2 linked regions of the Schizosaccharomyces pombe genome follow. The protein of the gene in region 2 purifies or fractionates together with the protein of the main gene of each other region. This does not show direct contact. Each region holds a gene or a part of one and is shown on either strand. Other genes may lie near its edges.

Evidence for each region.
Region 1: the proteins of rho5 (region 2) and rgf1 purify together in Schizosaccharomyces pombe (affinity purification with western blotting, with the first as the bait; one study listed by BioGRID). This does not show direct contact.

Annotation. Positions count from the first base shown.
Region 1 is NC_003421.2:1,243,015-1,249,970, forward strand, and holds rgf1 (RhoGEF family guanine nucleotide exchange factor Rgf1), read left to right. Parts: upstream 1-2,171; 5' UTR 2,172-2,248; coding exon 2,249-4,930; intron 4,931-4,976; coding exon 4,977-6,299; 3' UTR 6,300-6,456; downstream 6,457-6,956. Other genes in the region: RhoGEF for Rho1, Rgf3, read right to left, coding at 1-198; tudor domain and nuclease, Snd1, read right to left, coding at 6,543-6,956. UniProt on the Schizosaccharomyces pombe protein: Stimulates the exchange of Rho1 and Rho5 GDP-bound form into GTP-bound form. Controls septum formation, cell wall synthesis and localization of F-actin patches. Coordinates actin deposition with cell wall biosynthesis during bipolar growth.
Region 2 is NC_003424.3:2,130,941-2,135,026, reverse strand, and holds rho5 (Rho family GTPase Rho5), read left to right. Parts: upstream 1-1,975; 5' UTR 1,976-2,411; coding exon 2,412-2,482; intron 2,483-2,600; coding exon 2,601-3,132; 3' UTR 3,133-3,342; downstream 3,343-4,086. Other genes in the region: family protein ICE2, read right to left, coding at 6-453, 539-651, 692-877, 931-1,245, 1,325-1,588; ufd2 (ubiquitin-protein ligase E4), read right to left, coding at 3,404-3,477, 3,518-4,086.

The sequences.
Region 1 (6,956 bases), on a different chromosome or scaffold from region 2:
ATTATTCGAACGTTTAGAAAGAAAAGGAGGAGAAAAGAGTCTGGTGGTAGAAAAGTCGGAAAACGATAGACGTTTCTGAAAAGATGGTGGAGAAGAGGAATGAGGAGGATAAGTGTCCTCTGAAGAGTCTAAACAAATTCGGCTCTTTCCACCATGGTCTTTCGAGCTCCGATGAAAAAGTTCATTGGAGAGCTTCATAAAAGAAAAAGTGGTAGGGGGAACCACAATCACCAAAAATGACTAGGTCAAAAAAGAACTACAATAATATTTGAAGAATCAAGGCAAGCTAAGGCCAAATAGGAGTCAATTTCAATTGCAATCCAAGAAAGAGAAAGGTCAAAACTAAATGTTGCAGGATGGACAGTGCAACAAAAGAGAAAAGAGAGGTGAAAAAAGATAGAAAAAGGAATTGAGAAAGAAGAGTATAAAAAAAAAGAAAGAAATGCGAAGAGAAATTAATAAATGGAATAAAATAAGGGAAAATAAATTAAAATAGAACAAATTCAGTGTCAATGGAATTCAAAAAATGCAAACCAATCTCGTACGCCCTCAAAAAAAGCAATTTTATAGTAAGCCGGAATGAAAACGATTGATGCTTTCAAAGTTATGCGATGAACCAGAGAAACTCCCGTCCTCTATTAATAAAAGACTTTGACATAAAATTACGAATACAGAAAGAAAGAAAAAAAGAAAGAAAGAATTGTATCGCAATATCAATGCAACAGTCTGTTTATTCGGTTTGTGATGCCACAATAAAAGGGTTAGGGCGGAAGGAATAATATAGGATGATCTGATTGAAACAACCCAAAAAGGAAAGAAAGCTCCCAAGCGTTTCAGAGGAATCAAGTTTCGTAGGTTTATAGACAGAGAAAGAGAGAAAGCAAAAGCAGTATATTATGAAAGGTAATGACTTGATCAAAAAAACAACCTCTTCTAATGAAACGTTTGGGATAAATCAAAATCGATGCCTAAGAAAAGATTATAGGACTTTATGGTTTTTAAATATATGTGTAAATGTTAAATAACTTATAACCCACCACCAAGGGATCTTCGTGGACGGCGAGCGGAGTGGATAAGAAAATGGCTGGTTGTATGTTCGCGACGGAAGAACAAAATTGGTCTTTGACTAGCAAATTTTCCAAATTTAGATTACATGATTTAAACGATAAATAGGGCAAATAAAGTGTACAAAAAGATATTTGATCAATTTATATGATGTTGAGCACAAGCTGAATAGTAAACAATGCGAACGCAATTAAAATAAAATAAGTCAATACAGCATAGTCATAGAAATCGATCAATTGAGGTTATCCGGATTAAAGCTAATTATTTTAGATGATGTTTTTCATATTTGTAAATCGGTAATACAATTATGAGCTGGTCGGACAGAAAAAGTGAGCACATAAATTGCAGCAAGTAGAAAAGCAATAGGCAATATAAAGTAAAGGAGTTCATTCATGACTTCCCTTTTTATATAAGCGTTTTTTTTTTTAGTGGAAAGTCGACCAGGATGCAGTTGAATGTTGATATTAACTTTGTTAGGACTAGTGAAAATTCAGATTTGTACTTTTTTTTTAAGGAGTTCAAGACTTTTTTACTACATATTCAACATTGAAATCACCTTATCTATAGAAGAAGTAGATAAACTTAGCCCAAAACAGCATACTGATGACTTATAGCTTCTCATCCCTTCATAATATTAATGCGGTTTACTGCTGCTGTAACAATTCTTCTGATATATTAAGTATACGTATTTTTCCCTTCGAGGATAATCTTTTCTTAATATACCTGTTGCTCTCTCAAATTGCTAAGCAGACAAGTAAACAAATCAATTGTTTCATTGAACGAACCAGGACGGCTATATAAACTTATTATTATAATTTAAATCAAATTTTAAACATTCAACTCTGGAAACACTAACAAAAGCCTTTTTTTATGTCGCCTTTTAGCATGTGTTTCGAGTGGAAACCCTCCATGCAAAAGAAATTGAAGGTGAAAGCAATATACTAAAGCAAAACATTAATTCATCAAGCAATACGCAATTTACATATTAATGGTCTTTGATTTAGAAAATCGTATAAATTAGAATTTTTCATCATCTTACCGTTATAACGAGTTCGTAGCTACTTTCGCAGAAAGTTTGTGGTCAAATTATCTTGTCTTTTTCTCCACCACCAAACCCTCGTTTTCACGGGAAACATTCAGCATTGTCGATTCGATCGTCAAACTGATTGTTTTTATAGTAGCAATGGATTACCGGCATCCAAATGCACTCGGTGTGAATGAGAGCTCGCGTGCTTATGAGGAAATTTTTGGTGCTCCAAGAAAACGGGAGCCGGCGAGAACTGTAAGTACTCCTGCGTTCATGGAACCGGCTCCAGTCTCAAAAAAACCTCTTCCTCCTCCCACGCGAAGGCTTCCTCGGAAACCTTTGCCCTTTCGTTCCACGAGTTTGCAGCCTCCATCGTCTCAACCTCCTGCACCTCCAACTCATCAGAGAGAAGCATCTCCTGTGAAAAATATTGAGCACAGTGAATCTTTTCCTTCCGTTTTTGGTACTTCAAATAATCACCAGATCGTCCCATTGACTCTTAAAGACGGAAATGATTTTGGTGCTCTATATGCATCTTTAAACACCACACCCCATTTTCCTCAGGTATCGAATCATGCGCCCAATAACTCTAATTCCCCTTCTTTGACTTGGCACACATCATCCGGTGATGATTCCAACCAAAATCCTTTTTTCGTTCGGCGTCAGTCTCAGAGTAGCACGTCTCCGGTTTCGGATTCAGTAGATGAGAACCTCCTTTCAGCAGTCTCTTCTGTTACAGAGTCCGTAGAAACAAACCTTCATCTCGATCAAAATTATCCTTACGGCTCTCCTGTTCGTTCGTCTAAAAATCCCTTTCTCTCTTCAAATTCTCGATTACCAACTGATGATTCTTCTCACACTGTTGGTTCTCATTCATTTACTTCAGGAACTCACCCACCCATTGTTTCTTCTAATTCCGCCTTTACACTTCCCAATGCTGTTACTCCTGCAGCTCAAGCACCTCTCATACGTAGTGTTAGTGAATATCCTGCTAACGTTTCTCCACCTGCCCAGTCCCTTCAGCTACCAAAATCTACTAGCAATCCCGCGGATCTTCATTTAAGCATAGCTTCTGCTAGCAGCCATAAGAATATTTTTTCTGGGTTGGACGTCTTTTCTAATGTCTTTCATGGTCCCTCTACCACATTACGAGACAGAGAACATGATATGCGAAATCGCTCATTTGATCATTCTACCTTGGCTCATTATGAAGCAGTTAAGCAGCAGAGACTTGGTGTTGAACCTACTGCAAGGTCCTTTACGTTGAGCTCTTATAAGTCCCGTGCAAGTGGAAATTCCCTAATTAATGATCGAAGCTCTACAACAACGCCGACGTTTGTTAATTCGGAAGCTAGCTCGCCTGTTCATAAAAATAAACGAAGACGCAGAATATATGCTGCCTTACTTTCTCGTGTTGCCAGCGAATTGTTAGATAGACTACAGCTAGGTGATATCACGAAAGACGGTTTAATTTATTCTAATGCCTTTACTGGCGATCATGCAGTCACCGTGCTAATGGGTATTATACATACTTCTGATAGAAATCTCGCTTTACTTGTCGGACGCTCTTTAGATGCACAAAAATTTATTCATGATGTTACCTATGATCATCGTCTTCGTGATTCTCATCGTGAAATATATCAGCTTCAAGGTACTGGTTATCGCCCCTTCTTACGCGCAAATGATAATGCATCCATTAACAACAAAAACCATCATAAGGAATTGGAGGACAATGAGTCGGGCACTCGAATCTCACCGTCCACGTTAGGTGACACTTCTTTTCCAAATGGTATATTTACTTTATTGACGCATTGTTACTCTCCAACATGTGCAAAAGATCATCCCTGCTATTCTATTTCATGTCCTCGACGATTGGAACAGCAGCACAGACTATTTGCCAAAATGCGTGCAAACACTGAACAGTCTTCCTCCCTAGCGTTTGATGATAAGGAACAAAAATTGTGGATTCACAGCGTACCCCAGGAGATTGCTTATAGTGTCAGTGACCGGGAAAGAAAGCGTCAAGAAGTAATTTGTGAGGTTATCTATACTGAGCGAGATTTTGTTAAGGATTTGGAATATCTTCGGGATTATTGGATTAAACCACTATGGGCTTCATCTTGTATACCTGAACGAAAAAAAGAAAAATTTATTCGTACTGTGTTTTTAAATGCTTTAGAGGTTCAAGCAGTTAATTCTAAATTGGCTGAAGCTCTTACTAAAAGACAAAACTATAAACCCATTGTGGATAATATTGCGGATATATTTTTGGAGCACGTTCCAAAATTTGAGCCTTTCATACGATATGGTGCAGGCCAACTCTACGGAAAATACGAGTTTGAGAAGGAAAAGTCATCTAATCCTGCATTTGCTAAGTTTGTCAGTGACGTTGAACGTCTGAAAGAATCACGAAAGCTAGAGCTAAACGGCTATCTGACTAAACCAACTACCAGATTGGCTCGTTATCCATTACTTCTAGAAGCGGTATTAAAATATACTGATGAGGGTAACCCTGATAAACAAGACATTCCGAAGGTCATTAATATCGTTAGAGGATTTCTCTCACGTCTTAATGTTGAAAGCGGAAAAGCAGAAAATAAGTTTAACTTGTTTCATTTGAATCAACAGCTGGTCTTTAAACCTGGAGAACATTATGATTTACATCTGCTTGATGCGAACAGACAATTAATATTCAAAGGACCCTTGAAGAAAAGAAGTGCTGGTTCCACTTCTTCAGAGTCTGCGTCGGATGTTACTTTGTTTCTCTTTGACCATGCTTTGTTGATAGTAAAACCAAAGACTATTAATAAACGTGAATTATTGAAAGTTTTTCAAAGAGTATGTTTTTTCTATTCATTTAAATTGTTTTTTCTAACTAGTATAGCCTATTCCTCTATTACTTCTTCAACTATTCCTTGTTGATGATAATGGATTAAGAATCCCTTATTCAAGTAAGCAACAACTAGCAGCTGTATCAAAAGCAGCGAATGGGAAGCCACCTTCTAGATTTTATCCATTTAGCTTACAACTTTTGGGTCGTAGAGGGTACGAAATCACTCTTTATGCAACCACTGAAGTTAGTAGGGATAAGTGGTTAGAGCATATTGACAACCAACAAACATTGCTACAACATCGTAACCAGTGGTTTGAGTCTGTTACCATTTGCTCTAATTTCTTTGTTGGTGATAATAAAGTAAATGCGATAGGCGTTTATGATAGTGGTCGTCGACTTTTATATGGGACTGACACAGGTGTGTACGTCTCTCTTCGAAAAGCAAACAGCCCACTTCAATTCAAGCCTGTACGTGCGTTAAATATTCCCAACATTTCACAGCTTGAGGTTATTGAAGAGTATAGTTTATTGCTACTGCTTTCCGATAAGGTGTTATATTCGTATCCTTTGGAAATGATTGATGCGGATACTACTCAAGCCCCTAAAAAAGCAAGGAAAGTTTCTGGTCATACAACTTTCTTTCGCGTAGGAATTTGTCTGGGTAAAGTTCTTGTGTGTGCTGTCAAAAGTTCCGTCTTGAGTGCTACTATAAAGGTTTTTGAACCAGTCACTAATTACTCTAAAACACGGAACATGCCAAGCTTGAAAAAATTCCTTACTGTTAACCAAGACCCATTGAGGATTGTCAAAGAGCTTTATATACCCACGGAATCAACTTCGGTTCACTTCCTGAAGAATAAACTCTGTGTCGGATGTACGAGAGGTTTTGAGGTGGTCAGTCTCGATAACCTAGAGACGCAGTCTCTACTGGATCCAGCCGATACGTCTCTTGAATTTGTGGAGAAGAAAGAAAATGTTAAACCTATCGCTATCTATCGTATGAATGGCGGTGAATTTCTTTTATGCTATTCCCAATTTGCTTTTTACGTAAATCGAGATGGATGGCGTTCTCGTCCTACATGGTTTGTTGTTTGGGAAGGAAGTCCTCAAAACTTTGCCTTAAGTTATCCTTATATATTGGCTTTTGAACCCACTTTTATTGAAATCAGACATGTTGAAACCTCTGAATTGATCCATGTCATTTCCGGCAGAAACATCCGTTTGCTTGCTGATGGAAGAGGAAAGTTAGGGGACGGTGGTGAAATATTTTATGCGTGCGATCAACGTGGTGAAAATTGTGAGACAAGTGTTGTTTGTTCCCTTCGATTGACGAGTGCTGCTGCCCACGCCAAAGAGCAGCATGTAGACAAGTAATTTTGGTTTTTTTGAACTTAATTTTCACGTTTTATTTATAACGGTTAATTGGATATTGGTTTGTTCGGTTATCTTTTCTTTTCTTTTTTAAAAAAATAATTTAGGTGCATGAATTTTAATGATAAATAAGATTTTTTTAAAATATATACGTTAACAATATTTTAAAGTGAATAACTAGATATATTGTAGGCAAAAAGTACTAGCGAATATGATCAATGTTACTATACTAGAAGTAAAATATTTTTAGTCCTCATATTCTAGGGGATCACCATATACCCAGAAACCGATATGATTTAGACGTGCTTCTTGCTGATGCTCTTCTAGAATATTGAGGGATGCGGTATCTTTTTCAAAGTGAGATGTTTTTTTCTTGGGAATAACACTAGCCATGCCGAGCGCAACCAGTTGGGCATTAATACAGTCAGAAAAATCTGAACCATCACTAGGATTATACAAAGTTACAGAATACACGTTTCCTTCGTGTCCATCGACTTTAGCCACTAGACCTTTATTCATGGCTAGCTCCCTGAAAACGAGTCTTGCGTCTTCATAGTAATCAGAGCTGGGAGGAGGTAATTGAACGTAACTGAGACGAGCAAGTTGCGCTTGAGGCTTCAATTTAGTATAGGTATCTGGTAAAGAGGATATGTTTTTGAA
Region 2 (4,086 bases):
GCAGATTAGTCAAGTTTGAAATGGCTAGCAAGAGCCTGGCCTGTGTCAGACTCTTTGCTATAAGCTAGTTCAATGGCGTATAAGAGGAGAGTTAAAATAGCACTTACCCAACGCCAAATTTCAGCGGAACACAATATTTGATTCACTGGAGAAGTGAAAGAGGGTGTTGGGTATAAGTGCTGTAATAGAAGGTTTGTATAGACTGCAATAAGTATACATGGAGAAAGAATACTCCACATACCCTGTTTAGAAGTTCGACTGTACTCGAGAAAGATGATGTTATTTTGTATTGCAGGTAAAATTCTTGTTACGGCATACATAACTGATATGCGAAAAGCAAATGTAGCGAAAACACTCGGCGCTACGGTCTTAGCAGCCGCTACCATAAAAAGTACAATATTATAAAGCGTCCTTGGTAAAGTAGCAGATATAGTGGAGATTAGATAGTGAACACTGTTAAAAAATGTTAAAATTCGACTGCTCGAAAAAAAAGCAAGAAATTGGTAATAGTGAATAAGTAAAACATGTTGGAACTTACCTTTGAAGTATATTAGGAGGAAGATAATCAAACTTTGGTTTCTCAAGAGAACTAGTGTTTGGATTGCCAAAATCAGTACAAACCATATATACGGTGTATGCAATATACAAAAACTAAATATGTTAAAATCAGAAATAAGGAAATAACAATTACCATTAGCGATGCTTCAGATAAATTTGCACGTCCAGAAGCAACACCATAAATAGAAATTACAATCACAGTTGCAAGGGAAAATCCGATCATTAATGCATTAGGATTGGAGATAGAAAAAGAAGATACACGATAGAGGAGATAGAGGCTCATTGATATGGCACTACTAGCATTAAGCAAAATAAAGAACTGCGTTTAAGTTAACAAACGTAGGCATAAATAAAAGTATAAAATATACGTACCATCCAGTTTTCGGACTTATTATGGACCAACCAACGGCTTAGATGGCCAAGAGCTTGTACAACTAAAAGCGACGCCATTCCTTCTAGCAAATTAAATAGGGGAGTAAAGTGTAGTAGAGCAGTGTTCCAAGCAGAAGCAAGAAAAGAGGCATATTTATTCTGCTCTATGCTTGGTGATGCATTAAGGGCTATTATTAATAGAATAAAAACTAAAAGAGGTTCAAAGAAATGTAATGTTAAAGCAATTTTTCGAAGCCCAAACAGCTTCAACAAAGCAGTAGAGAAAAAGTATACTTCTAGTGCAAGTGTAAGTATCTATTTTAAATTTATGTTAGTTTATTTTTTAAGAAAGAGAAAGAAAGAAATGTTGAAATAACTTCATTCCTAAACTTACCAAACCGCAAAACCGACCGCCAATCTCAAAGGCGATTCCTACTAAAACTATTATGACTAAAAAAAACCCCAGGGAAAGGAAATTCCCAAACATTGCTAGCATGTTGCGGAAATGTGTTGATATATTTGCTTTAGGTTTTCCCTGAATCTCTGGTGCTTCATCATCAATAATTTCCAATATAGAATCATCCATTGCTTCAAAACTCGTGTCCTCCACTGTCGAAACCGAAATATCATAATTATTCGACCTAATTTCCTGGTCCATTGCCAAAAATTATTAAAAATTGGTCAAATTCGTAAATGCAAGACGTTGATTTTTCAATTTTTGTACAATTACTATCTTTTTAACACAGTAGAACCCAAACTGAAAACTACTTCACTCTATTTTTTCTTCTATAATTTTAAATCCTTCACAGGTAAACTATAAACACTAATTTTTACATTCAGTGCTGTTTTAATCGTTCATGAAGTAGCACTGATCCCGTAGCTAAGGAGTTTTGCTAAATAATTTTATATGAATTTTGAACGGCTGAGGCAATGAAACTTATCAAGCTTCTTTCATATTCCTTATTAATCGTTAATAGATATACGACAATATAACGCAATACGTGGTTTGTATGTATCTTGGAAGAGGGGGAGCATGCTCGTAACCACACCAAAGCCTATTGTTTACGTTTTAAAATTCGAAAGTATACTAGCAATTTACTATAAAATATTGTATAGATAAAAGCCAAAGGATTTTTTAAACATAATAAAAAGCTATAACTACTATCTTTTCCATCAGGTCGGTTTTACTGGGCTGCTCCACTTGTGTGTTTGCATAAATTTATAAAAGGAAAGTTGAAATTTAGTTCAATTGAATAGATTTTAACAATTCTTTTTACAATTAAATTACTCTAAGACGCCGCTTATATTTTCTTTTTGCTTTGCCCCCTATTTATTCGTTGCTTGAGTTATCAGTCGCCTTATATTTACATTGGTAGTTGAGATCGATTTTTTCAAAGCGGGCAATTCCTTGCGTTCACGAACCAATTATTGATATACTTGCAACAATTTTTTATTTTAAAAGAAATTTTTTATTCGACATTATGACTACTGAGCTCCGTCGTAAATTGGTTATTGTTGGCGATGGTGCTTGTGGTAAAACATGCTTGTTGATGTACGTTTGCCCTTTTAGAAATTCTATTCATTGTTATCGAGCTTTTCAAATGTGAATTTGATTTATCTAAACAACAATTGTGTTTTTAAAGCGATTAATCTACTAACAATTATTTTAGTGTTTTTTCCAAAGGAACTTTTCCTGAAGTTTACGTCCCTACTGTTTTCGAAAATTATGTTGCCGATGTCGAGGTTGATGGAAGGCATATTGAATTGGCACTATGGGATACAGCTGGTCAGGAGGATTACGATCGTTTACGCCCTCTTTCCTATCCAGACTCTCACGTCGTTTTGATTTGTTTTTCAGTTGATGCTCCAGAGAGTTTGGACAATGTTCAAGAAAAATGGATTTCTGAAGTTCTTCACTTCTGCTCCAATTTACCCATTTTGCTAGTTGGGTGTAAAGTGGATTTACGAAACGATCCAAAAACAATCGAAGAGCTCTCCAAAACCTCACAGAAGCCTATCACATTTGAAGAAGGACAGGTAGTAGCTCAAAAGATTGGCGCCTATAAGTATCTCGAATGTTCAGCGAAATTGAACGAAGGGGTCAATGAGGTTTTTGAGACTGCAGCTCGTGCTTCCATGCTTAAATTTAAGCCTGCTAGTGTACCGAAGACAAAAAAGAAGAAGCACTGTATCTTACTCTGATGAAATGCAATCTCTGTTATGGTGTATAAGAGCGTTCTATTAATTACATTCTGTATTGTTAGATTCACTATATTCATTTATCCTCTTGTGCAAAGGAATTATTTTACGAGCTTAACCTTTGTGGTACCGTACACCAAGTTTTTTATCCTTCGAATCATTACCTAATGAGTTTCCATGAATGTTTAAATATTTCATAGTAATTAATTGTCTAATCTTTTATTTAAACTTATCGAAGCCTTTCATTAAAAAACTAGTATAAACACAGTTATATTCATTCACTATTTCGCGAATGTTTGTTGCGTTTTGATTTCAGGAACGTGTTAATTTCCTCACGTAATGTATCATCTAAAGAATTAGTAACTAACAGTGGAAAAAAAAAACTTACTCGGTGTCACATCATCAAGCGTTAATGGAGTTCGATTAAATGGGTCGGTGGCATCACTTAGTAGATGTGCTTTAATAGTAGACCTATCAATCGAAATGCCAGATCTCGGTAAAACAACAGGATCTTTCATTATTGTAAACATAAGAGGATCTAAGAAGTAGTCAGGAATATCACCCATGTCTTCCTCTTCAGTAGCCTCTTGCAATCTGAATGCCTCTACCCTATTCACAAATTCTTTAATAGCTTCTATATCAAAAGATGACTTGAGGTTGTGCTTAGTCATAATGCTAGTCGCACGTTCAAATATTTCTTTACTATAAGAACGGCCATCGTGAGCAACAGCTTCGACAAATGCAGGTTCATTGCACAGGTTAAGATAAACATCGAAAATAATCGACAAAAGGGTTTTTGCATTAAAATGATATTTCGTTGGGTCCTCTACCTTGAGGTTACTACACTTAGGGCCACATAAAGCTTGAAGGTTATAGTTTAGCATAGCTGCCAACCGATCTACAATTTCAACGGCACAAAAGGCTTTAGGAATTGAGGAAGTGAACAATTTGAGCATA